Tamandua tetradactyla: one gene and its partner. The protein of the gene in region 1 binds, or shares a complex with, the protein of each later gene. Links are inferred from orthologs where the notes say so. Each region holds a gene or a part of one and is shown in the gene's direction. Other genes may lie near its edges.

Region 1 (15,268 bases):
TCTCAGCTCATTCTAGGGTTCCCCTCAGTCCCTTGATGCTGAGCCTCAGCTCACTCCAGGATCTTTGTCCCACGTTGCCAGGAAGGTCCACACCCCTGGGAGTCATGTCCCATGCAGAGAGGGGGAGGGTGGTGAGACTGCTCGTCATGTTGGCTGGAGAGAGAGGCCATATCTGAGCAACAAAAGAGGCTCTCTTGGGGGAGACTCTTAGGCCTAAATTTTAAGTAGACTTGACCTATCCTTTGTGGGGTTAAGTTTCATATGAACAAACCCCAAGACTGGGGGCCCAGCCCACAGCCCCGGCTGTCCATACTGCCCGTGAGAACATCAAGAACTCAACTTGGGGAATTTGAATTTCTCCCCACTCTCACCATTCCCCGAAGGGGGCTTTGGGAAAATATTTTAATAGACATTTCTCTATAGAAGATACACAAGCGGCCAACAAGCACATAAGACATCATTCAAAATCATTTGTCATTAAGAAAATTCAAATCAAAACCACAATGAGATACCATTTTACACTTACTAGAATGGCTATAATAAAAAAGACAAACAATAAAAAGTGTTGGTGAGGAAAAAAAAGGAAAAGAAAAAAAGGGCGGGCCAATGTAGCTAAGCGGCAGTGTTCCCGCCTACTGTGCTGGAGAATCGGGTTTGATTCCTGGTGCCTGCCCATGCAAAAAAGAAAAAAAGTGTTGGTGAGGATGAGGAAAAATTGGAACCCCCACACATTGCTGATGGGATTGTAAAGATGGTTCAACTCTTATGGAAAACAATTTGGCAGTTGCTCAAAATGTCATGCATAGAGTGGCCACATGATCTAGCAATTCCACTCTTAAGTATGCACTCAAGAGAATTGAAAACATACAACCACACAAAAACTTGTACACAAATGTTCATAGCAACCTTATTTAATTAATGGCTAAAAAGTGGAACCAACTTAAATGTCCCTTAACTCATAAGTGAATAAATAGAATGTGGATTATCCATTAAATGAAATATTATTTGACAAGAAGAATTGAGGTGCTACTACAATGTGGTTGAAACTTGTGAACATTATTATATGTGAAAGGAGCCAGTCACACAAAAAAACACATATTGATTTATTCCATTTATGTCAAATGTACAGAATAGGGACATGTGTAGAAACAGAAAGTAGATGGGTGGTCAATTAGAGCTAGAAGCTTGGGGGAATGTAGCGGGAATGGGATTGGCTACTAATGGATGCGGGGTTTCTTTTATAAGAGACAAAAATGTTCTAAAATTAGATTTTGGTGATGGTCCCACAACCTCATAAATATACAAAAAAATAAATAAAAACATTGACTCGTAAGCTTTAAATAGGTAGGTTATATGATGATTAAAATACCACGTGAATTAAAATAAACCTGAAAGTCCCATGTCTTGGAAAACTCAATCACTGGCAATCCAAAACAGTTTGTCCCCTTAATGCCACCCTCCACACACACACACACACACACACACACACACACACACACACACACACATTAAAAGAACAACAACGAGGGACTCTGGGGCAGAATGTAGCATCTAGAGTATTAGTCAGTTTTCTGCTGTGGCAATTTTGCAGACAGCCCAGAAACTCACTCATTTACAACAGTAGATATTGATTTCTTGCTCACTGGCTTCCAGTTGGGTTGAGTCTGTTCCAGTTCTCCGTGTGTCTCTCATTCCAGGACACCTGCTGAAGAAGCAGCCATTCATCTGGGGCATGGTCTTCTGGCGGCAGATGGCAAGACCCCAGAGACCAAACAAGTAGATGTAAAGACTCATCAAAGACACAGCTTACTTTGTGTGCTCACATTCCATGGCCATGGGAAATCACGTGGTTGAGTCCAGAGTCCGTGAGGTGGGAAGGTCTTCCCTGCCTGATGAGAGGCACTAAAAAGCCTCAAGGTAACAAGGCTGCAAGCATGCAATCCTGTTACAGGAGGGAGTGGAGTCAGTGGAAACACTAAGCTATTTGGGCCAAATGGTAACCATTCCTGCTCAGGAAGGATTTGCCTGTTTTGACTGTCTGTTGCAAACGGATCTTTTATTTTTTTTTAATAGAAACGACTATATTTTACATTCTGATTATAAAAGTAAAAACATCAGGCGGTACAGAAATGTTTTCAACAGAAACAGAGCTCGAAGGATATTAAGGAATGATGACATTCAAAATGTAAAGGTTAGTCCTAATGTCATCATCTGCAGTTTAAGTTTATTCTTATAGAATTTCTTACGTATATAAAAACACACAGACGCTATGTTTAACAAAAGTAGGATTATGTTAAACATTATTTTGTAATCTCTTGTCAGTTAATATATCAGGGATACCTTTCTATATAGGTCTGTGTTATCATTTTAAAAGTTTGCATGAATTTTTATGGTACTACATTTTTAAAATTTCTTTTATTGTGAAATATAACATACATACAAAAAAGCAATAAATTTCCAAGTACATTTTAACAAGTAGTGATAGAACAGATTTTAAAGTTTGGTATGGGTTGCAGTCCCACAATTGTTTTGTTTTTCTTCTAGCTGCTCCAGGACACTGGAGCTATAATGATTCAACAGTCCTATTCATTTATTAAATCCCATCTTCTCTGTTATACTCCTCCTTCTCTTTAAATAACATATGTACATCAAAGCAATAAATTTCAAAATACATCCCAACAATTAGTTATGGAATAGATTTCAGAGTTTGGTATGGGTTATAATTCTACAATTTTAGGTTTTTACTTCTAGCTGCTCTAAGGTACTGAAGACTAAAAGAAATATCAATATAATGATTCAGCAGTCATACTTGTCTGTTAAACCTGACCTTCTCTGTATAATTCCACCATCACCTTTGATCTTTCTCCCACTCGGTACTTACTACATTTTGAAGTATTTGTACACATTTTCTTTACCAATGATCTGCCCCCATAAATTATGCTTGCATAATCATAGCATATAAATGTTTGTGGGTTTTCACACTTAACATTATTTCACAATTGTTTTTCCATGTTGCTTTAATCTTTGTAATTATCTTTTTCGGTACAGCCTAATACACCATTATTTAATTAGCCAGTTCCAGTGTTCAGATATTGTGGTTATTTCTAATGCTTTTTATGTTCATATTCATTCATTGCAAATTTTCTGACTGCATTTGATTGGCTGAGTTTTTTCCCTGCTTTCCTTTCCACAAGTCTTCCCTTCATGCTAGGCAGAGCTGGAAGGGTAGTTGGCATTTTCCAATAAGGGGAAGCTAAGTTTAGCACATTTTAACTTGGGTGAAATGGTATAGAGCTAAGTAGTTCATAGTCACTTCCCTATCCAGTTAATAGCTGTCTGTCCCTAAGGAGGAGTGGTTCTGGGAATTTTCTTTCTGCTCACCAAGCTGCCTCTCCTCACTTCTTGGTACTGAGATGCAGGGTTAGAAGTCATTTGGTGATATAAGCCTGTCCCACCGTGCCCAGCACCAGATGTACATGTGGATACTCAAGGAGAAATGAAGTTTGAAATGGACACAGCTAGAAGCTAGTCTTTGAGAAATAGTAGCCACATCTCCTGGCCGGTGGGGTAAGGTGTGGGAGCCAGGAGAGAATAAGTCTGAATCCCAGAGAAGAGCAAAGACAAGGAGATGGCAAAAATTCCCTGGTGGCCTGTTATCCCTAAAGCCTGCCTGTATCCCTGTCCTTCCACGATCAGGCATTCAAACCTTCCTTGAATTCCATGAGCCAATAAATCCCCCCATTTTGCTCAAGCTAGTTTTGAGTTGAGGTCTCTGCAAGAAGACCTCAGAGGTGTAGGCACTGAGCTGGTCGTAAGATCATACGCCCTGGACCAATGCTGAGACTACAAAGATGGACAAGAGATGGGCCTGCCTTCCATGTACTCCCAGGCTGTGAAGGACAGAGATACGCCAACATAATTACAGTGCGGTTTGGATGAGTTTCACAGTAGAGGGGTTCCGGCTGAGGCTGGGAACAGGAAAAAAGGGGACCTCTGACTACTCGTGAGAACAGAATAAAACTTCAGTCAGGAAGGATAAGCTGCTCCGTTTTAAATAATGAAGAGTTCAAGTGTGGTGAATACTGCGATCGACATCTTTAAGCCGTTATTTCTCTTCTCTGAATGACTTCTTCAGGATAACGCTTGGTGATAGGATTGCCAAGCCAAAGAACATACTCTTTGTATGGCTTTTGCTGAAGACCACTACGCAATGCCAAGTGAGGTAGGAACGAAGCTCCCTCTCTTAGTCTTGGAACAGTCTTCCTCCCACCTAGTGCTTCATTTAGCTTTTTTTCCTGTAGTGCCTACTCTCTGTCCCGTCTCGTCACCACCAGTAAAACCTGTACCACGCAGAAATGCTTCATCCCAGCTCAGGACATCTGGGGAATGGCCTGGAGCAGCTATTGCTGAGACAGAGGCAATCCACTCGCATCCCTGTCCTGCTGCTGTTTGAGGAATCTCATACCCCAAGGCCAAGTTCACTAGGTCAAAAGACAAGTTGCCAAACATAATTTGTTTGGTAAAGCTCCTTTGTCCCTCTCTCCTCCACATGGGGATATACCAACAATTAAGATTCTATTTCCTTTAGCAATTACTCACTAAGCACTGCCTATGTAACCAGTGGATGGGAATTCATAATAATTCCATCTAAGATAATCTGGAACTTTCCCCTCATACCCTGGGTGCAGAGAGAGTTTTCTCAGAGTAATGGAAAAGAGGCTTTGCAATCAGAGTCTTGCATATGTCACTGGCTGTAGTTGTTTGATTTGAGCGACTTACTTTTTTCAGTTTCTTCATCCATATATATGAGAGCTAATGATACCTACCTTTCATTTAACAACTAATTTAAAGCTCACTAAGAGATAGCATGATACTATAGTGAAAAGCATAGTTTTATCATTAGTAAAAGAGTCCTTTTAGACTTACTCATTCTGACATAGATTTTTATTATATGTCACTCTTTTATGTATAAAAATGAGAATGTGAGCAAAACAAATTGGCTAGAGTTATTAAAGCCCTGTGACTAAAGATTACCCAGCACACACTTGTAGATAAAAGTAGGTTAGCTTTATTTAGCTTGTCGCAGTAAAGGAAAATGCACCCTAGGGAAACCCTCAGGGGTGTCTCTATAAGGATTTGGGCTTGTGTCAGATGATTCTGCAGAGGATTTAGGGAAACCAAGACCAGTTCGGAATCGGACGTTTCTGAAAAGCAGGGAAAATTCAGAGGCTGGGTGTCTTTATAATGTTTATCCAGGAGGGTTAGTGCAAGACTGGAGTTGTCATTTACTAGAAGCAGCAATCACTCAGAAAGTCAAACCCATTTTTGTGGTCTTGTCTAAATCTCATTTTTTATGCTCTCTTGGGAACATCATGGTCTGTTTCTCAGAAGGTCTATCTCTTACTTTCTTGGGGTATTCCTAAAACTTCACTTTGCTTTCAATTATAGTATGTATCCCATTTTAGGGATATTAAAATATGAAAACAAAAAACAAAAAAAAACCCTGTTCATCCTAGATTTGATGAAATGTGATTCTTGCTGTATTACCTTGGGCAAATAATTTAACCGTCTAAAGCTCAACTTTGTGCTCCATAAAATGGAGCCGATAAAATTTACCTCAGTATTGTCAACGTACTTAATGTCAAATTATTTAAATGATTACTTAAAATGATTTTTGTCTTACATATGTGTCACCCCATTTAAAAATAAATTAATTAGAGGGTGGTGCAAACGTGGCTCAGTGCAGAATTCTCTTCTGCCATGTCAGAGACCCGGGTTCAATTCCCAGTGCCTGCCCATGTAAAAAAATATAAATTAATAAATAAATTAGATTTTTAAAAGAATGCATACAAAGTGACAGGTACAGTCTTGGGTAACACACAAGGGCCATCCAGGAAATAGGACCCACTCTATGTATTTAAAATAGAATTTTTTTAATTAAAAAAATAATAACAAACGCCAACATTCTTAACTTAGGATCATTCAGTTCTACATCTATATAATCAATAATTCACAATATCATCACATAGTTGCTTATTCATCATCACGATCATTTCTTAGAACATTTGGATCAATTTAGAAAAAGAAATAAAAAGACAACAGAAAAAAATTCATACATACCATACCCTTTACCCCTCCCTTTCATTGATCACTAGCATTTCAATCTAAATTTATTTTAACATTTGTTCCCCCATTATTTATTTTTATTCCATATGTTTCACTTGTCTGTTGATAAGGTAGATAAAAGGAGCATCAGACACAAGGTTTTCACAATCACACAGCTACATTGTGAAAGCTCTATCATTACACAATCATCCTCAAGAAACATGGCTACTGGAACACAGCTGTACATTTTCAGGCAGTTCCCTCCAGCCTCTCCATTACATCTTGACTAACAAGGTGATACCTACTTAATGTGTAAGAATAACCTCCGGGATAACCTCTCGACTCTTGTTTGGAATCTCTCCGCCATTGACACTTTATTTTGTCTCATTTCGCTCTTCCCCCTTTTGGTCGAGGTTTTCTCAATCCCTCGATGCTGAGTCTCGGCTCATTCTAGGAGTTTTCACAATCTCTTGATGCTGAGTCTCAGGTCATTCTAGAATTTCTGTCCCACATTGCCAGGAAGGTCCACACCCCTGGGAGTCATGTCCCACATAGACAGGGGGAGGGCAGTAAGTTTGCTTGTTGTGTTGGCTGGAGAGAGAGACAGAGAGGACACATCTGAACAACAAAAGAGGTTCTCTTGGGGGTGACTCTCAGGAAGGTCCACACCCCTGGGAGCCATGTCCCACATAGACAGGGGGAGGGCAGTAAGTTTGCTTGTTGTGTTGGCTGGAGAGAGAGAGAGAGAAAACACATCTGAACAACAAAAGAGGTTCTCTTGGGAGTGACTCTTAGGCCTAATTTTAAGTAGGCTTGACCTATCCTTTGTGGGGTTAAGTTTCATATAACCTAACCCCAAGATTGGGGGCTCAGCCTATAGCTTTGGTTGTCCCCACTCTTTATGAGAATATCACGAATTCAACCTGGGGAAGTTGAATTTTCCCCCTTTCTCACTTTTTTTTTTTTTTTTGCAAATACTTTTTTATTCACCGTTCAAATCCTTCTGGGATTTATCGGGGCATCACTCTGGACAAACCAGCAAAATCTCATGCCCTACTCTGGGTTCCATGTACTTATGGTGTTCAATTAAGCCGTCTGCATAAATTATATTAGGAAATGCACTAGCCAAAATATAAATTTTGTAGTCCTCTTGCTTTTGTAAAATTTCTTTTTCCCCAGAACATTATCAAACAAGTTTAACTTTGAAATATTCATATTTTAGGTGAGGACTTTAAAACTATATGCTTTCATTTTCCTTTGCAGACTTTTTCTTGTTTACCCAATTTCATTAAAGGCAGTTTTAATTTTCAAAAAAAAAAAAAAGAGGGAACCACTCTTAAAAAACCTTAGAGCCCATGCAACCAGAGAACTTTGGAGATGAAGAAGGAAAATGCCCCTGCTGGAGCTTCATGAAACTAGAGGCCAGGAGAGAAAGCTATCAGACTTCATTATATGCCCTTCCAGCTGAGAGAGAAACTCCCAACTCATTGACCTTCCTTGAGTGATAGTACCAAATTGTTGGTGCTTTAATTTAGGCATTTTCATAACCTTGCCTCAATTTGTACATTTTCACAGCTTTGGAACAGTAAATTTGCAACTTAATAAATTGCCCTTTTTAAAAGTAAAATATATATATATATATATATATATATATATAAATTTTGTACCAAATAAACATTTTTTGCTTTAGTCTCACACATAAGCTAAATTTTTTAAATATTAATTACCATCTATTTAAAATGGAATTTAATGCAGGGTATTGGTGGCACAGCGAGGCAACCCAGAGATGACCGAAAACAGGAAGCTGCTCCCTACCCCTAAAGTGGAAAAGCAAATAGAGGAATTATTGGAGCTACCAGCATGAGTCACCCTGCAGAAGTTGGAATCACAGGAGGCCTCTCCAGCAAGACCTGAACCACAGAGTAGCTTTATCTGCTGCCACTGCTGCTGCTGGAGACTTGCCAGAGGCTGAAAGTTAGTGAGAAGGATGAAATACCCTAGCCTTTTTCTTCCTCCTGCTTTCCAGTCTCCTGTCACTGTCTCCCATCGGCCAAACCCAGGCCAGTAGCCAGCTGGCCCAGACGCCTGAGAAACTGCCACCTGCAGCAATATAGTAGACCAGGAGGGCAAGCGACACCTAGATTCCAGGTAAAAGGCAGAAAGCAACTATTAAGCAGAAATGAAACAGGCTAACTAATACCTTTACTTGCAAAACTTGTAAAGTACTGGATGCATTTGCAAGTCAACAGTTATTTCCTTAAAAATATATATTGATAAACCAGTACCTTCACATGCTTTATCACCCCAGCCCACTCGATCTCCAGCCATCCCTCTATATTTTCTGAATTACTACGGCATGGCATTTTAAGATGGATTTTTCCGCGTCAGATATATTGCTTTTTCCCAGTTGAAATCTCACGAGGGTTTATACAACAGAGGGACATGCACATTCCACTTCCAGAGGTGAAAGTCAGAATAGGATAGGATTATGATGCGGCAGTGTCATGGGAATTGGATTCCGGTCTTGGGGCGCTCAAAGGATTGCCGCGTGACCTTGGGTAGCTCATGGAAGCTCTGCGCTCACATTTGGAACAAGGAAATCGTAATCATCGGGGATGGTTTGTGCGTGCCCACGCTACACTGAGCTCCTCTGCATCTTTGCATTCCCTTGTCCAGAAGGTTCCACGAATGTTTTTCTGAAATGCTGTCTGAGGCGGCCTAAGGGCCTAGGAAAACACATAACGTGCCCAAGGTCGCCGAGCTGGCAAAGCAGCAGGAATTCAGTCACCGTTCTTCCGTGCCAAAGCCTTTGCACTCCTCCACCGGCTTTTTTCCCGCCCTGGGCATCTTTTGGAGGAGGCAGGGCAAAATCCTGGGGCACCTGGTAGGATGGCAGCAAAAACGCCCGACTGGCATCCCAGCGTTGAGCTACCCACCGGCCTCCGCCGGCCGCCTCACGACGCGCCACCGGGTCTCCCACCCCCCACGCGCCAGGGGGGAACTTTGGGGGCCTAGACGCCACGCGGGCGAACCCCGCCTCCACGCTGGGGGGCGGCCGAGAGCCTGCGCGCGGCCTTTCGCGCCTCCCCGCAGGTCCCCGGGATTCTAACAGGAGCCGAGCGCCCGGGGGCGGGGACAGGGCAGGGCCGCGTGCGATTGGCTGCGCGGGGCTCGGGGGGCGGGGCCCATGCGGGCGGCCGGGCGGACGCGGACAATGAGCCTCCATAAAAGGGAGCGGCGGGGGGCTGGGGCCCCGGATTGAGCCCTCCCCGTCCGGGGTCCCGACGCTCTGTGGTGTCGGGGAGGTCTGGACTCGCCCGTCGCAGGCCCGGCCGGCGAGCGAGCGAGCGGCGGGGAGGGGGCAGCGCGGGGCGGGCCGCGGGCCCGGCGCTGTCCAGGCGGGAGGTGGCAGCTGTCTGCGGCGCCGAGGCCTGCGCGCCCGTCCTCCCGGGGCCGGTGACCGCAACCCTCCCGGGCCTCACCATGGCCCTGAAGGCCGAGGGTTCCGCGCTCGACTGCTTCGAGGTGACGCTCAAGTGTGAGGAAGGGGAGGACGAGGCGGAGGCCACGGTGGTGGCCGTGATCCCGCGGCCCGAGCCGATGCTCAGAGGTGAGGATGGGAGGGAACCCCCCCCCCACTTCCGCGTCAGGGTCCAGGGCTCGGGCTTCCCCTCCCCCAGTCGGGGCCGGGGTACCCCCACCTCCCCCTCGGGTCTGAGGCCCCGGCGCCCTCTGGCTCCGCCCCCACCGGGGTTTGGAATCTCCGGCCTCCCCGAATCCGTCCCCCCCGCCCCCTCCCCCTCCCGGCCCCGGGTCTGGAGCATTCGATCCACGCCCCGCGCGCTCCGGATCTTCCGGTGCCCGAGCGCCCCCTCTCCCGGGCCCAGCGCGGGAGGCCGGATCCCGGGCGACGCTGGGTATCTGCGGCCGCCGTCTCCCGGCCCCGAGACCGGCGCGAGGCCGTGTTCTAGGCCGAGGGGCCGCGAGGCCTCCAGGCCGGACAGCTGGGTGTCCGGAGGCAGTCGGAGGATGGGGGTAGGCTGGGCTGCAGCCCTTCGAAGAGGAGGATCTTAAGGGCGCGCCATGCGCGGGGTTTTTCTGGCCCCGGAGATAATTCCCCTTTCCCAGACCTTCCACTTGCATAAGCCACAGGTGTCAGTTTCTAGAGCGCCAGGGGTGAATGGGACTGCACACAGCACCCAGTTTTGGAAAGGAAGTGCTTGTCGGGTCGTCTACCCGCCCTAAAACGAGATTGACCTGGAGAGGGGATTTGAGGAACAATCTGGAAAACTCGCTTTCCCCTCCCCCTATGCCAAATACACAGGATCTTGAAAATCATAAGAAAAGGCCACCTTCGTGGAAGACTTAATGTTCATGAGAGTACAAATGTCATTAGATTCTCCAGTATTTCTTCCCACAGCTGGGGACAGTATCCAGAAGAGATGGGGATCTAGACCTTGTGAAAATGGGAGAGGGGAGGGAACCGGCTTGCTCTTTTAACCTTAACAGAACATAATGATGTCTATGTGGACTGTCTCATCATTTTCAGAATCAGGAGGATTATAAAATATAATTGAGCCTTCAATCCAAAAGAGGTTATTTCCCCACCTCCCCTGATATTTATTGAGGTTTTGCATTCCTGGCCATTGTCAGACTGTCACGTATAATGCTCTCCACAGCCCTGCAAGGGAGACCTTCTCCCCACTGTGAGGGATAGGAAATCGGAGATCAGAGAGGGTAATTCATTCAACAAATATTTGTTGAGCAGCCACTACATGCCAGGCTGTCTCTTAGGCTTGGGATGCCAACAGCTGTAAACAAAGACAAAACCCTGTTCTTGTGGAACATGCATTCCAATGGCTGAAGAAGTCAAGCAGGAATATAAAAGTATAGTATCTCAGGTGGCGATAAGTGATGCAGACAACACTAAAGTAGGGTAAGGAGAAAAGAGTGTCTGGAGTATTTTATTTGGTATGTTGTCAGGTAGTCAGGGAAGGTGTCTGATACAGTGAGTTTTGAGCACAGAATTGAAGCAAAGCGTGGTGGGGGACCTGGTAGATAGTTGAGGAAGAGCATTTCAGGCAGAGAAAATAACAAGTGCAAAGGTCCTGAAGCAGAAGCTTCTTGAAAAAATTATAGTATAAGGGAAAGTGAGGATGAATTCAAGAGCAGCTGGAAGGATGGATTTCCATTTACTGAGATTGGGATGACTGGGAGATGGAGGTTTATAAGAATGGGGTTAGGATTTGCAGGTGTTAAGTTGAAGATGTCTTTATCCATCCAAGTGGAGAAGACCACTGGTCAGTTAGAGTTAGATCCAGGAGCTCTAACTGGATTGCATGGGAGAGTCCTGCTGGATTTGCATATATGTAAGTTGTCAGGCCAACAATTGGATGAGACCATCAGAGGAAGGAGGTAGACAGAGGAGGGGTCCAGGGACTGAGTCTGGAGTATTCCAGTGATGAAAAGATGGAGGTAGAGCCATTCCCTCTTCAAAACTTACTGAGCGCCACTGTGTGCCAGGCCTGAACAGTCATATGTTTATGCTGTCGTGGAACCTACAGTATCGTGGAGAGATGCAGTAAACAAGTAAGATGTGTTAGGTCAGGGGGTGATAAGTGCTATGGAAGAAAGCGAAGCAGTGCAGGGGTTGGGGTGCTCGGGTGGTGGGATGGCAGCTTTCTAACAGAGTGGCCCAGAGGGCCTCAGTCGGGAGGGTGGTCCTTTAGTAACAACCTGGAGGAAGTAAGGGAGCCGTGCAGATATCTGGGAAGGGGTAGAGATCAGAGACGGGCAAAGGGTTCTCACCAGGTAGAACAGGCAGGTACATCATTTGGTGACAGAAAGCTCACTGAGTAGCTCCTCTCCTACGTACCAGGCTGTCCAGAAACGTACATTATGGCCTGGAAGTCAGAAGTGGATACAGTCAGCTGCCAGAGTGGGAGGCCAGGAAGGCTTCACAGATGATGGGTTGAACAAGGCCATGAAGGAACCTGGGAATTTTTCCGAGGCAGTCTGGACAGGTGTGCAGAAGCTGAAGACATGCATGAGCACAGCTGATGGGGGAAAAACCTGTAGACCTATGTTAAGACTTGATTGGAAGAAGGTGTAGGAGTGTGCGTAGCAGGATACCAAACACACAGGCTTTGTTCCATGTGACTTGTGCTTCATGGACTCCAGGAGAAGGGAGAGAAAGACTTTGGATAGGGATCTCACACACACACACATACACTCACCATCAAGTTTGAGGAATCGCGTGTTCTAAGTACCGTTGGCTGTGGGCACCTGATAAACATCTCCCCTCCTCCTCCACAGTGACCCAACAGGAGAAGACCCCACCACCTAGACCCAACCTGCTAGAGGCAGGTGGTGATGGCTGTGAGGAGCCCAAGCAGCAAGTGTCTTGGGAGCAGGAGTTCTTGGTGGGGAGCAGCCCAGGAGGCAGCGGGCGGGCGCTGTGCATGGTGTGTGGCGCCGAGATCCGGGCCCCCTCGGCCGACACGGCTCGCCTGCACATCCTGGAACAGCATCCTCACACCCTGGACCTGAGCCCTTCTGAGAAGAGCAACATCTTGGAGGCCTGGAGCGAAGGGGTGGCCCTTTTGCAGGACATCAGAGCTGAGCAGCCGTCCCCACCCAGCTCAGGTAGTTGGGTCTCGGGTGGGAGGCAGAGGGAAAAAATGAGCCCTAGTGGAGCGTTTGGGGCTCACTGGGTATTTGCCCCCTTCAGACTCAGGCCGGTTTGTGGATCAAGACCTGGACTCTGACCCAGACCCTACCAAAATGCCAGCGGAGATTGTCGTCCTCCTTGACTCTGAGGACAATCCATCTCTCCCTAAGAGGAGCCGGCCCAGGGGCCTCCGTCCACTGGAGCTTCCTGGTCAGTCATCTGGGAAGCCGGTGTATCTAAGGCTAAGTGGGGGCTGGGTAAGACACAAAACCTGTGTTCTGGGGTGGGGAAAGGCTGCTGGCGTGCAGGTATCTTGAGGAGTCCTGGGAGGGGGCATCAGGGTTCAGGCATGGGCTCTTAAAAAGGCATAAGGTCTTTTCTTTTTGCAGCTGCCCCTGCTACAGAGCCAGGAAATAAGAAGCCCCGTGGTCAGAAATGGAAGGAGCCCCCTGGGGAAGAGCCAGTCCGAAAGAAAAGAGGCAGACCTATGACCAAAACTCTGGACCCCGACCCAGGTGAAGGAGAGGCCCCAGAGGTGTGGGCACAGGTTCTGGCTGCAGTGCTCCAGGAAGACAGCTGAGCCAGTGAGGATAGGGTGGAGCCCAGGCAGAGGGCACCTGGCAGCTCACCTGGGGCCTCGAGATGCAGGCTTTTGGGTTCTGGCCTGGACGGGGCTAATAAGTCTGGCTGCCTGAACTCATAGTTTCCTTCTCTTCTCCCTTCCCAGATCCCCCATCACCCGACTCGCCCACAGAGACTTTCGCAGCCCCAGCTGAAGTCCGACATTTCACTGATGGCACCTTCCCCCCTGGCTTCGTCCTCCAACTCTTTTCCCACACCCAGTTTAGATCCTCAGAGAGCAAGGATTCACCCAATGAGGGTAAAGCGGCAGGAGAAAGCCCCTCCCCAGGTGAGCTCTCTGGGAAGGGTTGACAAGAGGAGATTGGGCAAGCAGCATCCCTGGGTTTTGACCTCAGTGAGGCTGCTCGACCGCAGAGCCCAGCAGGGAGACGGTTGATACTGAGGTACCCTGGGAGACAGGGCTAAAGGCAGGGGGATTTGAGTGATCAAAGTGGCTGGTCAGGATGCTGAGCTTTTCTAAGATTTCCTTGAGCGTTTCCTGGAATCGGTTGTCAGGTTGGGCAAGGCCAGTGTTCCAGCTGGATCCTGAGAGGCACCTCAGCCTGGTGGAGCATGGGCCCAAATGGGGCCACTCAGCAGTCCAGTTGGCAGGTCTCAAGACAGCATACTCCTGTTGAAGGCTGTACAAACACCTCTGGGAAAACCAGCTCAGTAAATCACCTAAGAGCAGGAACTGTGTTGGTATCATCTTCTGCTGATGTTAAGTAATGTATATATATGGTGTTCATTTGGTCCTTACAGAGATACCTGGCAGTGAAAGGGGCAGGTGTCTATCCGCTTTTCCAGGTGAAGAGTCCAAATCCCAGAGGAATGGTTCCTTCTTCCCAGTGGTCATTTCTTCATTTCCATTGGCTGCTGTAACAAATTGCCAGACACCTAGTGGCTTAAAGCAGTGCACATTTATTTTACGGTTCTGGTGGTCAAAAGCCCGACATGGGTCTGACTGGGCTAAAATCAAGGGATTGCAGGGCTGCATTTCTTTCTCAAAGCTTTGTAGGAAAGTCCATTTTCCTACATTTTCCACCTTCCAGAGTTTGCCCACTTCTTTGGCTCATGGCCTCCTTCCATCTTCAAAGCCAGCAGTGGCCAGTTGCGTCTTTCTCAGGAGGCCATCTGTGCTTCTGACTCTTCTGCCTCCCTCTTTCCTATTTAAGGACCCTTGTGGACCCACCAGATAATCCAGGGTCATTTCCTTATCTTAAGGTCATCTGATTAGCAACCATAATTCCATCTGCAGCCTGACTTCCCCTTGTAACATGGCATCTCCACAGGTTCAGGGGATTAGGGTGCGGCTATCTTTGGGGGGCGGGGGTAGCCTGCCTTTGCACTGCCTACGCAGTCACGGAACTAAGCGGTGACAAAATCAAGATGAGATTGGAATGCATGACAGTCGGGCAGAGGCAGGGCCAGTTCTCTCTCTGTCTCTCCATGCCGAGCATGGTTGCAGCATCTTAGAGGCTCAGGAAATGCTTCTTGAAGAAGTATTTGAGTGACCCAGAGAGTGCCTGTGTCCCAGCTTGTCTGAAACGTGCATTTGGAGTCAGAGCCCAGAGAAAGATGGCACGCCGCATGGCTGGAGGCTCCCTAGAATAGGGCTCTCAAAAGGAAGGTGTGCTTCACCAGGTCCTCCCCGTCCCCAGATGTGCTCATAGCACTTCATAGTGTTTTCTCCAACATCAATTGGAGATAATCAATTATCTGTATATTGGGGGAAAAAAAGGTGTGCTTTATGCATGAAGGAAAAAGCAAATTGTTACCCCTCTGGCCCCTCCTCGCCAGTAACCACTATTAGCAATTTGGCCTATATGCCTCAGGCTTTTTACAAAGTCTGTGTGTGCGTGTGTGTGCGTG
Region 2 (15,680 bases), on another chromosome or scaffold:
TTTAGACTAAGAGACTGTCTGACTTCCTGCGTCATGCATAGTAGTAAATTCTTTCTCTCTTTGAAATCCCAGTGTCATAGATTGGCTGTTATGCGTATTGGACAGAGAATAAATTGTTTGGTATCAGTCTATAAACCCAGTAAAAGTCCATTGACTATCAAAATACTCTTTATCACTATTTATTGAATGTTCTCTAAAATTTGTTAAGACAGACCCCTCTCTCTACCCTACTCGTAAGAGTTACTAACCATCTATTTTAGAAAACAAAAAATAGATGCTTGATTTGCCTTTGATGCAGGAGACCTGGGTTTGATTCCCAGACAATACACCCTTCCCCCCAAAAAATAGATGCTTGAAAAGTGTTTTCACATAAGCTTTAGCAGAATTTAAAGCTGCATAGCTTATTATGACCTTGTCTCAGAAGCCCCACGACATCATCCTGCCACATTCTGTTGGTTCAGCATGTCACAAAGACAAGTTCAGATGCAAGGGGAGGGCAGTTGAAATTAATCTCAGACATAATTTCTAATGGAAAATCCTTCGGAACATATCACTAAATGATGATCACTCCCTCCTTTTCACCTTCACCACTATGCCACTATCACCCTCTGTTATAGATTGAATTGTATTCTCCAGAAGACATTGCCACGTCTTAACCCCTGGTTCTGTGAATGTGAATTTACTTGGAAATACGATATTTGAATATGTTATTACTTGAGATAAGTCCAAATTGGATCAGAATGGTCCCTTCTCCAATATGATTGCTATCCTTATAAGCAGAGGAAATTTGGACACAGTGAGTAAGAGAGAAAGAGATAGCTAGCTCTGTGACAGAGGCAGAGACTGAGTTATGCCACAAACCAAGGAACATCATGGATTACCAGCCACCAACAAAATCCTACAGATTGCAGTCTGCTGACACCTTGATTTCAGACTTCTGGCCCCCAGAACATGAGACAATAAATTCCTGTGGTTTAAGCCAACTGACCTGTGGTAACTTGTTAAAGCAGTCCTGACAAATTAAGATAGTCCCCCACTATAAAATAATGACATCTTATTATCATCAAATAACCAGTTTGCTTACTGTTTGAAAATGATCATTTTCATGAGCATTGCATCTTGTTCAAATCATGTCTCCCAAAGTTTCTTACAGTAAACTTTTAAGTGGTTTCCTAGATTTCAGAATTTTCTAGATAGAACCAGACTGATTCAACAAAGTTCTTACTACAAGGCTGATTGATCATCTTCAATTGTTTTGTACTGGATGGTGAGAGTCCCTTACATGTGTGCAATTCTGCACAGTTTATATCGTATCTTTCGTTATTGACATAACCCAGTGAGATTGGTTAAGGAGAGTTTAGAGTACCCAGTCTCCTGGCATTCAAGACCTTTCATAAGCCCATATCCTAACAAATCCATACAACCCAGAACTCCCAGAACAAGTTATGCCTTAATTTATAACAAATAGTTGTTGAATAGACTTTGCTCCAGGGAATATATTGATAATGAAAACAGATCTTGTTCCTGCCTTCCAGGCCTTTTAATCCTGTGGGGGAACTGGTGATATTCAAGTAAATATTTCAATACTACATGCAATTATAAAAGGAAATAGGTGCTATGATGGAAAACAAACAAGGATTTAAGTAAGAGAGAGTGAGAGTGAGCAATCTACTTTGGTATCTGGTCAGGGAAAGTTTCTCTGAGGAGACACTTAAAAATCTCTATCTGCCTGCTGTGCATAAGACAACCTGGAAGGAGGTAACAGTGGAGCAGGGGAGATTGACGTAGTTGACCAGATGGCTGAGCTCTGCTCATTGCCATGCTGCCCTTTGAGTCCTTCATTCAGTAAACATTTTCTGAGTGCCATGTGCTGTTCCCTTCATGAAGCGTAAACATGCTTATGTATGTAGACACAGTATCCCCTCCAGAGGCTAATGCAGTGCCTCGAGCTCGCTAGGGGTTCAGTTGATATTTGATGAGTGAGTGACTGAAAGGGATGTTCTGGTTTTCCTCTTTTTTTTTTTTTAAAGGAAAGACAGAGAGAAGGAAGGAAGGATAGAAGGAAGGAAGGAAGGAAGAAAGGGAAACATCTTTAAACATTTTCTTGTTTTATTGTATTCTGTTTCTCCGTTTTTTTGTTACATGGGCTGGGGCCGGGAATCGAACCGAGGTCCTCTGGCATAGCAGGCAAGCACTTTGCCCGCTGAGCCACCGCGGCCCGCCCCTGGTTTTCCTCTTCATTCAGCAGGACAGTCACGCTGACAGTCTCATTGTGTGAGAGAAGCCTGGAAGGGGCATGACATCGTCATTTGATTTTTCTGAAGCTCCAGGAGCAAGTCATTAAGCTAAAAAAAAAAAAAGAGTGTAGAGAGAGTGACTTCCTGACTGCGTTCCTACACTCTTTTAACACCACTGCTGCTTTACTTTCAAGGAGAGAGGATAGCAACAAGCTGCTCCTTCACCCTAGAATAGGAAGAAACTATAGTGTAGGCCCAGGTGGTCTAAGGGGTTCTGGGAAGCAGGCTGGCTAGGCCCTTCCAGATATTGAGCTCTGCAGGTTGAGCTGGACCTTAGAGAGGTAGCCTTGGGTTAATGGGAGAGGTGTCAGAGAGTGGGGGCTGGACCAAAGAGGAGGTAAGGATCACCCTGGATCTTGCAACTGCATCTAAAGCGTCTGTGTTTCCTTCTAACCACATTACTTCCTCTGGAGGATTAATTTCTGAAATCTCATAGATTAAAGGTGTAGAGCATGTCTTGGGAAGCTGACCTGAAGGCCTTAAATCGTCTTCTGTGGAATATTTAATGAACCCTTTTTCTGGCTAGTGGAGGTACAGCAGAGAACAAAAGCAAAAGGCACAGAGAATGTATCTTCCTCCATGGAAGCCTGGAGGGTTTCAGGCAAAGCTGAACAGAAACACTATTTGTTTCTGACCTTGTTCCTTCTTATGCTCTCAACTCCTTCCCTCTTTCTGGTCCCATTGCTGACCATCCAGATGGGCTGTGGTCTCCTCAGCCCTGGACCCCATGTTTCCTCCTGTAGTGTGCATCAATCAGTTGACTCTCAGTGGTAGATCTGGCCTAAGCACCTTATCAGAACCAACATAGGAGGGTTGCTGCTGTACCATAGAGGGCCACCATCTAATCAGGAGTCACACAGTAGATTTGCCAAGTCTGCATATACAGCCATGGGTGAGAGAGGCAGAGCCAGCATGAACCCCCACCATACTGAAGGACCTTATGTTAGGGTTGCTGAAGAACCCTGAAAGCTTCCAGCTTGACAATGACACTTGCTCCTGCCGCATGGGGACCAGATGTCACTCACTCACTCAAAGCTTAAATGCCAAAGCTCTGGACCTAGCTTTGATGGGAGCATCTTAGCACATCAATCACAGGATAGCTCATGTGACACTGGGGAAGATGGCATTCCTTTTTTTTTATACATACTTTTTTATTATCTGCCCAAAATACTCTGGAATGTATCTCGGTATTACATTAAGCTATACAGAATCATCAGATTTCATTCTCTATTTTAGGTTCTATGTATTTAGGATGTGCAAATAAACTGGTTAGACAGGTTAAGTTAGATAGTATGCCTAAGAAAATTTAGATTTTGGACAAAATACACCTCTTTTCCTTTGGTCTCATACAGAAGTTGAAGTTTTAATATGCAGACTATACATCCTTTACTTGTATTCTGATTTATCTTAGTCCCAAACAGATCAGCTTCATTCATATCTCTAATTGAAGTCTGAACTCTATTTCATCTTTTAACCATCGCAGTATGGAGTAATGCTGACTTTCAGAGCTGCAGAACTCTTAACTCTGAGTCTAACTCTGAATCACACAGGTAACCATAAATCCAGGGAACTATCAAGTTACATACAAAGAGTACAGCATCTCAGCATTTTGAAAATAACATTTAAAACTCAGGAATAAATACGACTACTCTAAGAGCTTACAATCTAAGCCCTAGTTTTCTTATAAGCATTTTCTAAATGAGACCATACAATATTTGTCCTTTCGTTTCTGGCTTATATTGGTTAACATAATATCCTCAAGTTTCATTCACCTTGTTTCATGCCTACATTCCTTTCTGTAGCCCCACAACACTCTATGTATACAGCACAGCTCATCAGTCGACGGACCCTGTGGCCACATCCATCCATTGGCTATCGTGAGTAATGCCACCCTGAACATCAATGTGCAAAAGTCTATTTGTATATCTGAAGACAGCATTCTTACAAGGCTGGAGGCTGAACCATCAAGCCCACCCACCTAGAGGTTTAGCTAATGCAAATGGGTAAATATTGGATACTTCTTGCTGTGCTGAATAATTCCATAACAAACACAACTAATTTGGAAAGGCTGCCTTGAGTCTCTTTCTGATTATTGCATAAGAGTCAGTGTAGTGAATATTCTGAGGTTCATTGCTATTGCTCCCTCTTTCCACTCTTATATCACAAGTGTGTTCATCCCTGTGGCAGAACTTTCTCTCCAGGTAGGAGCCCATTTAAAAGATATGAGTGGTGCCCCGAGAGTTTTCTAGCCATAGGGCAGAAGATGAAAACAGAGTGGGAGCTACAGGCTGAGACTATTAACATGCTGATTTACTTGCCAGCAATAAACTTCCTGCAGGAGGAAAAATTTATGTAGGCCCTTCTAACCTAATCTTCCAGCGTGATTGAGAAACTACAAATAAATTGACTAGAAAATTTAAGTTTCTGGAAGGGCTTGTTGGTGAGTTTCTGTGAGACTGGGAAACTGAAGCGAGCAGGAGCTGCCTGAAAAGTAGAACAGTGTGGCTAAAGTATCCTAGAAATTCATGAAATTATGCTGTCTTCTATTTTTCCAAATTTATATTTTGAACATTTTTTTTCCAAAGTTGAAATAATTGCACAATGAATACATATGGATCCTATACCTTGTCTCACCAACTTTAACATTTTGCTACTTTTGCTTTCTTTATATATAAAATGTACTTGTTTCTGAAATATTTGAAGTAAGCTGTAGTCATCTGGACACTTGAATTAAGTAATTTGTTATGTGCCTCCTGAGAACAAGAGCATTGTTTAAGATGATTCCGTAATGCATTCAGAGCACCCAATTGTCCCCCCAAATTTCCATGGTAGCTTTTTATTTTTTTCCACTTAAGGGCCATGCACTGGAGTAGTCTATAGTCTCTTTTATTCTGGAATAATTCCCTACCTTTTTTGTTTTTCTCTGCCTCTGTCACATGGCTCTCAATCGCCCCCAGGGGATATTTGGTAATATACAGAGATGTTTTTGATTGCCACAACTGCGATGGATGTGTGTGCTAATGGTTTCTAGCGCATAGAGAGGCCAGGGATGCTTATACTGAGTTTTTAAGAGTCCAGACCAGTTGTTTTGCAGAATGCCTCTCAATCTGGATTTGTCTGATTTTTTCTGATTAGATTCATTTTAAACGTTTTTAGCAGATACACATGGGTCATGTAAAAACCCATTTTTGAAATTCAAGATGTGTTATGGATTCAGTCATGTCCCCCCCAAAAACATGCTCAAGGTTTATCTCCTGGCACTGTAGATGTGAGCCCATCTGTAAACAGGATCTTTGAAGATGGTATTAAGGTGAGCCGAAGTTGATCCAATATGACAGGGGTCCCAGTAAACAGAAGGAATTAAGTCACAGGCAGGAGAATTAGGAGGCAGACTGTAGCGAGACAGCCACGCGTCAGAGGCAGAGACTGAGTTACAGATTGCCGGCATCAGAATGCAACCAATTTCAGAAAAAGCATGGCCCTGTTGTCACTCTGATTTTGACTTCTAGTCTCCCAAACTATGAGACAACAAATTCCTGCTGTTTAAGCCAAATACTCTGTGGCACTTTGTTACAGCAGCCCTGGCAACCTAAGACAAGATACTAATGAGCAAGGCTTCAGAAGGTAATTGAAATGCTGATGGCAGAAAGACCAGGAAGTGGGGCCCTTTCTGATATAGGGCCATGTGCATTCCCATGCCTGAGCATTCTTGATAAGCTCCCAATCTGACCATCTTTAGAGATAAAATTTAAAACAGTGGTTCTCCACCGCCCCCAGGGGATATTTGGCAATGTTTTGAGGTATTTTTGGTTGTGGGTGGTGTATGTGTGCTACTGGCTTCTGGTGGGTAGAGGCCAGGGGTGCTGCAAACATCCTACAATGCAAAGAAAGCCTCCGACAGCACAGACTTATCTTGCCCTAAATGTCAATAGCGACAGACTGAGAAACCTGTCACTATAATACTGAAGCGTCCCAACTAGCATACTTCTGAGCACATATCTGCTTCCCATTCCTTCTTGTTCCAGATTCTCCTGTATTGTCTCATGAGACAAAAATTAAACACACAAAAGGACACAAAAGAATGCAATTTCTCAATATTATATGGTGAGCACAGCGATGTATGTGCATTTATTATATTTATTTGTATACCAATAACAAATATATACAAAAATATAAAATAAACAATATAAAATGATGTATTGTACTATTTAATATATTTATTTTATGATATATATACTTGTTAACCCTTTAATTAGCCTATGAACATCGTGTCATTTAAGATGTGCCCTCCAGTTTGTTTGTGTAGGCACACAAAATTACTTGGAAGAAAAGTTGCCAGGATAATCCCAAAGAACACTAACTCACAAATGCCCTGCAATTTACGGTGAACAAAGTGCTTTCTCCAATACTGCATTCGGTGCTCTGCAATTTAGGGTGAACAAAGTGCTTTCTCCAATATTGCATTCGGCAACGTGAGCCGACAACACTCTGGGAGACGGTTTATTATCATGCGGGTGCTGGGGCTGCGCTGTCGCACTCGAGGAACCAGAACAGGGAGTGGGACCAGCTCAGGACACAGGTCTAGTGACCGCGTGGGGCGGGATGGGAGCGGGCGGCGAGATGCAGACCCGGATTCAGCCTCTATGTCCTTCGGTCCACTCTGAAGCATTCAAAACTGCTCTCCATGCTTCATTCCCTCCCCCACCCCTTCTCGTGCAAGCAACGTAAACCTAATACTCCAAGCGTATCTTAACCTAAACAGAAGGACAGATTAACGCGCAAGCGTGGGAATGTCTGGTTCTAACCGCGCAAGGAGAGTGGGTGGGTTCTTGCATTTGGGAAGGAGGCTTGGTACAGATTGAAACTTCTGGCTTTGCAGAAATCATGCCCCCCTCCCCCAGCCGCCCTCCCACCCCTCAACCTCGGTAAGGTCAGGAATCTTGCAGGAGAAGCTTCGGGGTTTAAGTTAACATGAAATACCTAGAAATAGCTTTTTACATGGAAGTAGATTGTGGGGTGACCGGGATTTGACGCTAGACCTCTTCGCAGGGCAGCGGTAAGAGGAAGGCGTCTGTTCTAGTAAATCACAGGAAACAAATCTATATGCATTTTTATAGGATTTAAGTCCTGCGGTCCCGAACGACTGCAATTTTAGCTAGTATGTTCTCTATCGTTTAAAGCTCACCTTTCTTGCGCATGTTCTTGCCATTCTGTCCAGTTTCATAAATCCTTGGGGTATGCACGCCTCAGAAGGATTCACTATTTACATCCAAGGACAAAGAGCACCTAGTCGTCTCTTAGAAAGTCTTCATAGTAACGAGAACTAAACTCCTCCCAAGCTGCCTAACTTTTGGTAGAAACGGCACCCACCTTGCTCCCAAGACTCCTGGAGCTCCGCACTTCGAACGCGTAGGCGACTCCAGCCTGGCGTCCGCCTAGCGCACCTGGCAGTGCCTCCAAGCCAGGACGATACTCCGCTACGCCCCGCCCCGCCAGGTGAGCAGCCGCGAGGCCCCGCCCCCACCCGGAAGCGCCTGCGCAGTTCGGCCCGGCTCGGAGTCTGCTGCCGGGGTGGCGGGGCCGTCGCAGTTCGGCGGGCCCAGTGCGCGTGCGCCGTGGAGGCCGGGAGGCGGGCGGCGGCGGCGAAGAGAGGCTTGGCGGGGGCGGGGAGGCGCCGTCTGGCTCGGGTTGGGGCCAGGGCAGGGAGCCTGAGAGAAGAGGGTCGGCGAAAACCCGCGTGGGGCTTGTGGACAGCGGCCCTCAAGCGGGTTGGCAGGTGAGGCCTCTCCGCCGCGGGCGGGAACGGGGCCGCTCCGGGGGCAGCGTCGCCGCCGCGAGAGAAGGCGCGGGCGTGAGGCGCGCGTCGGCGTCTCTCCCTGGTTTCCGCGCGGGGCTGCCTTCGCCCGGCCCGGGCCAAGTCGTGCCAGGTGAACGCTGCCCGACGGCCCGGCAGCCCGTGCCCCGCGGCGGCGCATTGTCCGGGCCGGGCCGCGCCAGCGCAGCGCCCCCTGCCGGCCGAGACGACCCCCGGGGTGGAGGCGGTTCGGCCTCCTCGGGCCTCCCCGGGCCTCCTCGCGCGGGTTGCGCGTTTCTTTGTTCGCCGCCGCGCTCGGCCCCCTCCTCCTCTGCCGCCGCCGCCGCCGCCGCCGCCCAGCGAGTCCCGGGCGCCCGGCGCGCCCCGCCCGCCAACATGGCCGCCGCCGCGCCGCACCCCGCGCCCCCGGCGCCGCCGGCCCCTTAGCGCCGCTTTTGTTCCTCGGCGCCGGCGCCGCCGCCCGCGCGGGGTAAGGTTCTGCGGGCTCCGGCCAGTCCCAGCTGTCGGCGTCTGCCGGCAGCGACAGGCGGAGGAGCCCGGAACGCGCGGGGGCGGGGGGCTTCGCCTCTGCGTATTTTCGAGGGCGGGTGGGGGAGGGGACGATGCGCCAAAATCGTTGGCAGCGGCGAAATGTTCAGTGTTGCATAATACGCCTAGTCTCTCTGCGCGCTGGACGCGGCTCGTCGCGGGCGAGGAGGAAGAGAAACGGTACCACCTGGGTCGCGGATGGGCCGGGCGGAGAGCGGTGCTTTCGTGTGGAGGCTGCGTCCGCGCTGCTGTTGGGAGGGTGGGATGGCAGGTCTGGGGTGTCTGCAGCTAATCCCGGGGTTGCCGCGTCTCTTGCGGGGTATGGTTCTGTTAGTGGGTAGACGAACTTGCGCGTAGCCCTGTTTTTCCCAGGGTGAGGGGTACTGGGTTTTGAAGGTAGCGTTGCTTTTGAGTGGAGGAGCCCTTAGTCCTTGGAAGTTGTTGGATTCATAGAAAAGGCATGTTTTCTGTTGCTTCCAATAACGCCCACTAGCACATTTCCCATCCTATGCGGTCCTCCGGCAGCCGCAGCACCCTCTCCTGGCTTTGTTAAATACTTCGGCAGCCCTTCTGTTGGATAAGGAATTGACGTTGGGAATGCATTTCTTTCGACACATTTTTTCCCCCATCATAAGTGACCTTGAATGTATTCTACTAGGAATTTCTTCAGATTAATTTTTGGTGCGGTAACTACGCAGTGCGTTTTGGTTTGGCTTTCTGTTAGGTTCTTTCATTAATGCATTCTTGATTTTACGAGATTTGATCTTGGTAGTGGTTTCAGTGATATATGTTATTTAATAAGTACCTCAAAGTTTATTTACGTAATTTTTTTTTTTTTTACTTTAATTTGTTCATCGGGATTCCGGTTATTTGGAGAGAGTTTTCCAGACATATTCTTTGGCTGTGCATTGTTGAGCTATTTTACCGTGAACATAAAAAGTAGTACAAGATAATGAAATGTTTTAAAGGATTTCACTGTCCAACGTGATTTGTGCCAAAGCGGATATACGTACCCAAATGCGAAAACCTATATAACTTTCCTCTGTTCGAATTTTCTGGAATGAAGTCGGTGCAGTCTGAAAGGATTGATTTGTACAGTAATTGTTTTCTACGTGACTGTCACTAGGAAGTGAGAATTAAAGCTAAACCTGGCGATTTATATCAGGACTTACGGAGTTCGTGGTCTTAGAGGTTGTGAAATTTCAGAAAAGAGATCAAGTGAATTGATGCTTCCTTTCCCACCTCCAGCTTTAGTTATGGGCAAACACCAACAACTAGAGTTGCTAGTAATTTATAGAACGTTCATGACCCACCCTTAATAATTATACGTTAAGGTTTCGTAATATGTCAAAACTCTGGGTAGTTGGTATTTCTCATGAGAAATAAAACTGAGTTTTTAAATTTTTAATCTTTTAAGTAGTGAAATAGTTACTGTTAAGAGTGTATGAAATATGTAAGACAAAAGGACCAGTATACACCTTGCTATTTCTTCATGTTTGTTTTTTCTAACCCTTATTGAGCCCCCAAATTTCACTGTAGTAGGTTTTTGACAGTGCCTTTAATTACCAGTTAGGAACATAATGACAATATGGGATTCGATAACTTTGCTTTGGAATGTCTTTAGCAGTGTTGCTTAATGTGGCATTCTTTGTGACTCTTGTTCAATGAGATGCCACAGGTGCTGAAAAATATTGCAGCCTTTTCTGCATTTATTTGGCCCCAGAACCCTTGTTTGGTTTGGTAGGGTGTCTGTTTAGCATCAAGGAAATCAGAAAACAGCTGATATTTCTTGGGACATACTTAGATTATGAAAGTATGGTCATTGGTGTCTTTATGGTATATCTTAGAAAATAGCACCTCTCCCTTAATTGTGAACTGAGGAGGGGGTGGTGGTGATGTGATTTGTGTGTTCTTGTGCATTTTATGGGCAGTTCCCTATAATCTGGCTCTTACTGTATTGATAAGTTTTTATGAGCTCTATTAGCCAGAAGTCTTAATTAGAAGATATTTAATGCATTTTTGCTTCCCAGTGACTTAAATGATTGCACACATTGTTAAGAACAGTAACAAGTTTACCAACAGTTCTTCTTAATTGTTAGCATCTTTTTTCCTAGTGTGTTAGAAATAAACGAAAAGGATACTATTGTTTTTGAAGAATTAATTATGTGGATCATTTAGAGGTTAAAAAGAATGGCTTGAACATTCTTATGGCCTGCCTGTTAGAATCTCAATTTGCTGGGAAAGAACAATTGGTGTATATCCATGTAAATTCTTCTTTATGTTTTTTAGGCACTAAATTGAATTTTTTTTCTTTTCCTTTGAATGAAAAGAAGTTGGAAGAAGAGAATCAATTCTTTTACCCAAGGAATTTGTTCAGTGGAAGGCGTTATGGTATTGTGAAAAAGATGTCTGGAGTTAAACATGGAATTAACATGGCCTTCAAATCAGAAGAATCTGGGTTGAAATTGAGCACCACTGCTTACTCGTCCAAAGCTATATATCTGATTCGTCATGCAGCCTTTTTCAAACTCTTCAAATTGACTTTAAATTTGGATGAAACCTCTCATGTAAAGCTATTGTGAGAATTAAATGAATTTGTATAATTCCCAGTACTGTTCCTGATAGTGGTTAGGGCCAATAATAGTTGATTTCCTTCCCCTTCCTACTTTTGAACTTGGCAGTAGTCATTAGTATGATTTTTCTGTTTTCATGCTGAAATTAACAGTTTGCTTAGTTGTGCCTCAGTATTCAGTCCAGTTTATTAATTTTAAGTTAGATCTTTATTGGGTAGCTTTTTAAAGCCTTGAAACCACTTTCTGAAACAAGTCAGTAAAGATATAATGTATAGATATAAGTACATAAATACCTTAAAGTACTTTACAGTCTGGTAGGGAAGATTACACATACATATAATGAGGAAATTCTGTGCTAAGGGGTATCTTGGAAGAGAAGATAATGCTGTAGTTGGTTCAAGAATGTTAAAGTAGGAAAGTAAAGGAATTCTAGATGATGGTAACAGCAAAAGCACAGGCATGAAAAGAGGTCGTATGTCCTGAATTTGAATCACAACCATTTTATTCCTACACTGTTACCTTTTATTCATGCGTGACAGTGTTACCTATAAAATGGGGTGATAATCCCTCCTTCACTAGGTATAAGATTAAATGAGGCAGCTCGATAAAGTGGTTGTGCAGCTTCTAGCATATGGTAAGGGCCTGGTTGATGTGGTGGTGGTGGTGGTGGTGGTGGTGATGATGGTGATACCGATACCACTGCTTACCACCACTCATAGTGTGATATGGTTGGTCTGTTTTTTGGAGGTAGGTTTTAAATGCTTCACATTTATGTCATTGGCATTTATCCTACAGATGGTGGGAAGCCATTGAAAGGTAGCGACATTAATCAGGCCTGTGCTTCAGAAGGATAATTTTTACAACAGATTGTTGGAACATTCTGGCCAGTATGAAATACCTAATTTCCAGAGTTTAGTCTGTTAGAGAAGATGATTAAAGTCATTTGAGGCAGGGGGAGTAAGTCCGGACTCACTAGAATGTTACTGTGTTCACCTTCGGGGGCTTGGGCCCCACTGGACAGTTTCCATTCAGCATGGATATTATTTCATCACAATGTTGAATGTTGAGAGAGTAAATGAAGAGTCTAGGTAAGGCTTTTTTTTTTTTTTTAATAAATTTGAGATTTTTTTAAAAAGACTTACAAGGACAAGCCCTTTTTTTAGTCTAGATTATGTAAACTTTAATTTATAGTGTAACCTATATACAAAGCAAAGAAATGAAAAAGCAATAGTTTTCAAAGCACTCTTCAACAAGTAGTTATAGGACAGATCCCAGAGTTTGTCATGGGCTACCATATGATCCTCTCAGATTTTTCTTTCTAGCTGTTCCAGAATATAGGAGGCTAAAAGGCTTGAATACCTTTCTTTCATCACAATTGACTTTCTTTCTTTTTTTGTGAAAAATAACATACATACCAAAAAGCAATAAATTTCAAAGCACAGCACCACAATTAGAGGTAGAATATATTTCAGAGTTTGACGTGGGTTACAGTTTCACAGTTTTAGATTTTTGCTTCTAGCTGTTCTAAGATACTGGAGACTAGAGATATCAGTTTAATGATTCAGCCATCATATTCATTTGTTAAGTCCTGTCTTCTCTGTGTAACTCCGCTATCACCTTTGATCTTTCTTTCCCTCTCTTTAAGGGTGTTTGGACTATGGCCATTCCAACTTTTTCATGTTGGAAGGGCCTGTCACTAATATGGTGTCAGGAGATGGAACTATCTGATGTTTTGGAGAGGCTGGGCCCCTAGGTTTTGGGGCTTATCTGGTCCAGGGACCTATCTGGAGGTTGTAGATGTCTGGAAAGTTACTCTACTGCATGGAACCCTTGTGGAATCTTATATATTGCCTTAGGTGTTCTTTAGGATTTACTGTAATGTTTTTGCTTGGGATTTGGCAGGTTATGATAGGTAGCAACGTCTAACTGAAGTTTGCATAAGCACAACCTCCAGAGTAGCCTCTCGGCTCTATTTGAACTCTCTCTGCCACTGATACTTTATTAGTTACACTTCTTTTCCCCCTTTTGGTCAGGAGGGAATTGTTGATCCCACCTAGATTATATTTGTATTAAGTTGTGTTTGGTTTTCCTACAGTTTAGATATGAACTCTCATGTTGGAGACCCAGGTTTGATTTCTGGACCATGCCCCCCAAAGAAAAAAAGGTCAGAACTGTATAAAAAGGAATATTTGCGCAGTGTTACTTGCATTCATGTCCCTTTACAAGTTATGTTTGATTTTGGATTTGCCTGCAAATGATTATTTAATATTACTAATCTGAGTTTTGGGTCCTGGCACAGCTTAACAGAAGAAAGAGCGCTTTTTTCATTTTTCTTCTTGCATGGTTTTGTTTGTGTGTGTGCATGTGAGAGTTTCTCTGCTTTTTCTTTCTTAACATTGATTGTGAACCCATGGATTTTTATATGTTCTGTGTATTTTAATCGAATAGTAATTTTTTTCATCACTTTGTCCCATCTTTGGCCCCTGGGAGTACTTTCATGCATGGTTCCACTGATCTTTGAAACATTTGTTGCTTTCTGGCACAAGCTGTACCAGGCTCTTTACATGTCTTTTAGCTCCTTTTATTGGGGAGTGGAATTTAGATACCAAAATTTGGGTGCTGTGTTTGTTCTCATTGGTGCTGGAATGCTACTACTTTCATTGGACAGACTGGGGGTAGTATGGATGTTGATTTTTTATTCATATTCCTAATTCAAATGTAACATTACAGGGTTTTTACTTATCTTTGATTTTATCCTTTTTTTGCTAACATTGAAAATTTGCATTCTTGGCAACAATACTTTCCTGTATCTTAAAATACAAATATTTGGAAATCAGTACTTATTAGTTTATAAACATTGAAACTACTAGATTTATACTTGGTTATAGTTCTTTTTCTTAAATGGTGACCCTATAAGGATGTACAGTTGATATTCTCAGTCATTTGATTGTGATATTCTCTTTATTTATGTTATCAGTTTGATAATTAGTTTCGTGTATTTGCTTGAAATTCTTCACTTTTAGGAGTTACTTTAATTTTTTTTTTAGTGCAGTTTTTTTCAATGTGTGAAACATTTGTGTAGCTTAAAAGTCAAAACTGGATGCACAGATCGTTCATTGGAAAAATGCTCGCCTTCCAAGCAGGAGACCCGGGTTTGATTCCCAGACCATGCACCCAAAAGAAAGTAAAACTATATAAAAAAACATTCACAGTGTCACTTTCATTTATGTCTGTTTTACTCATTCCTCTCCTGCCCGTTTTTATTATTTTCTGGGTTTATTCTTCCAGTATTTCAGTTTTGCAAATATAATTAGAAACTTTTTTTGCCCTTTCTTTTCCTGTGCAAAAGATAGCATTCTGTGTTTGCTCTTTTGCTTCTGCCTTTTTATCTAAGTTAGTCTGGAGATGACTTCATATCTCTATGTAAATTTTTCACACCCTTTTGAGGCAGCATTCTAATAATAAACATTTGGGTTTTTAAATTCTATTTCTGTTGTAAATATTGCTGCAGTGAGTAATCTTGTGACACATTGTTTTATATTTGTGCAGGTGTAGTTTTAAAATAGTGAAATTGCTAGGTAAAAGGTAAACACATTGGCAACTTTGTTAGTGCCAAAAAATTACCGTTTTAAAGGTAGATCTGAGTGTGTCACCCTTTACTTACCCTCATTGACTTCTCATTGTTTTTAAGGGCATTGCTTGAAGGACTTCATAACATGGCCTCAAGGGTTTATATAATCCTTTTGGGCTGCAGCCTCATTTTGTACCACATTTATTCCCTCTTGCTGTCTTTGCTGTAGACATAACTGTCCTTCTTCAGTCTCTCATACTCACTATCTTCTCATTCACCAGGGATCTTGGTGCTTGTTCTTTCTCTGCTTGCACTACCTGAAATGCTGTCCTTTGCTTGTTTCAGATATTCTTAGTCTTCTTTTAGAGTTTGGCTTAAGCATCGCTTTTTCTTTAAATTTCTTTTTTTGTGTGCATTTGAAAATCTTCATTATAAAAGTAAAGAGAATAGTCCAATGAACCCCCATGTTTCCATTACCCAGCTTTTGACCATCAATTTTATGCAATTTTGTCAAGTATTAACTTTTTCTCAAAGTTTCTTTGACCTCCCTGAAGTCAAGTTCTCCTATTAGAGATACCAATTTCTCCTTTCTGGTGCTTATCAAAATTCAAATATTACATTTGCCTACATAATTAATTAGTTTTCCCCAGAAAGCTGAGCTTCATAAAAGCAGAGATGTTCCTGATTTTGCCCACAGTTACTCTTCTTGTACTTAGCTTAGAGCCTGGATTATCAGTGTGAGAAAGGTAGAATTATCCAGTAAGAACATTGAGGCTGTGTATTTAAGTATCTTGTCCACGGTGCAGGTGTCTAGCATATATATGGGTAATAAGTAAACATCTGTTGAATTTTAACTGCCTTTTTTTAGAATACTGTAATATTTAATTATACTATTT

Evidence for each region.
Region 2: the proteins of SPINDOC (region 1) and SPIN1 are in contact, whole or in part, in a crystal structure (PDB 7CNA), measured with the Homo sapiens proteins. The link is inferred for Tamandua tetradactyla from reciprocal best matches to the Homo sapiens genes SPINDOC and SPIN1. Residues at the interface, in NP_612480.1 of Homo sapiens: Phe256, Ala258, Pro259, Ala260, Val262, His264, Phe265, Thr266, Asp267, Ser269, Phe270, Pro271, Gly273, Phe274, Val275, Leu276, Gln277, Leu278, Phe279, Ser280; in NP_006708.2 of Homo sapiens: Met154, Thr169, Tyr170, Glu171, Pro174, Pro206, Val209, Val210, Leu213, Lys216, Gln217, Val218, Glu219, Tyr220, Thr229, Val232, Val242, Tyr243, Ile245, Phe247, Asp249, Asp250, Tyr254, Val255, Tyr256, Asp257, Leu258, Val259, Lys260, Thr261.

Annotation. Positions count from the first base shown.
Region 1 is NC_135335.1:10,773,323-10,788,590, reverse strand, and holds the start of SPINDOC (spindlin interactor and repressor of chromatin-binding protein), read left to right. Parts: upstream 1-9,501; 5' UTR 9,502-9,588; coding exon 9,589-9,715; intron 9,716-12,420; coding exon 12,421-12,750; intron 12,751-12,835; coding exon 12,836-12,985; intron 12,986-13,164; coding exon 13,165-13,290; intron 13,291-13,502; coding exon 13,503-13,685; intron 13,686-15,268. UniProt on the Homo sapiens protein: Chromatin protein that stabilizes SPIN1 and enhances its association with histone H3 trimethylated at both 'Lys-4' and 'Lys-9' (H3K4me3K9me3).
Region 2 is NC_135328.1:11,366,902-11,382,581, reverse strand, and holds the start of SPIN1 (spindlin-1), read left to right. Parts: upstream 1-7,959; 5' UTR 7,960-8,073; intron 8,074-8,560; exon of another isoform or gene 8,561-8,581; intron 8,582-8,710; exon of another isoform or gene 8,711-8,820; intron 8,821-11,888; exon of another isoform or gene 11,889-12,301; intron 12,302-13,308; exon of another isoform or gene 13,309-13,377; intron 13,378-15,680. UniProt on the Homo sapiens protein: Chromatin reader that specifically recognizes and binds histone H3 both trimethylated at 'Lys-4' and 'Lys-9' (H3K4me3K9me3) and is involved in piRNA-mediated retrotransposon silencing during spermatogenesis.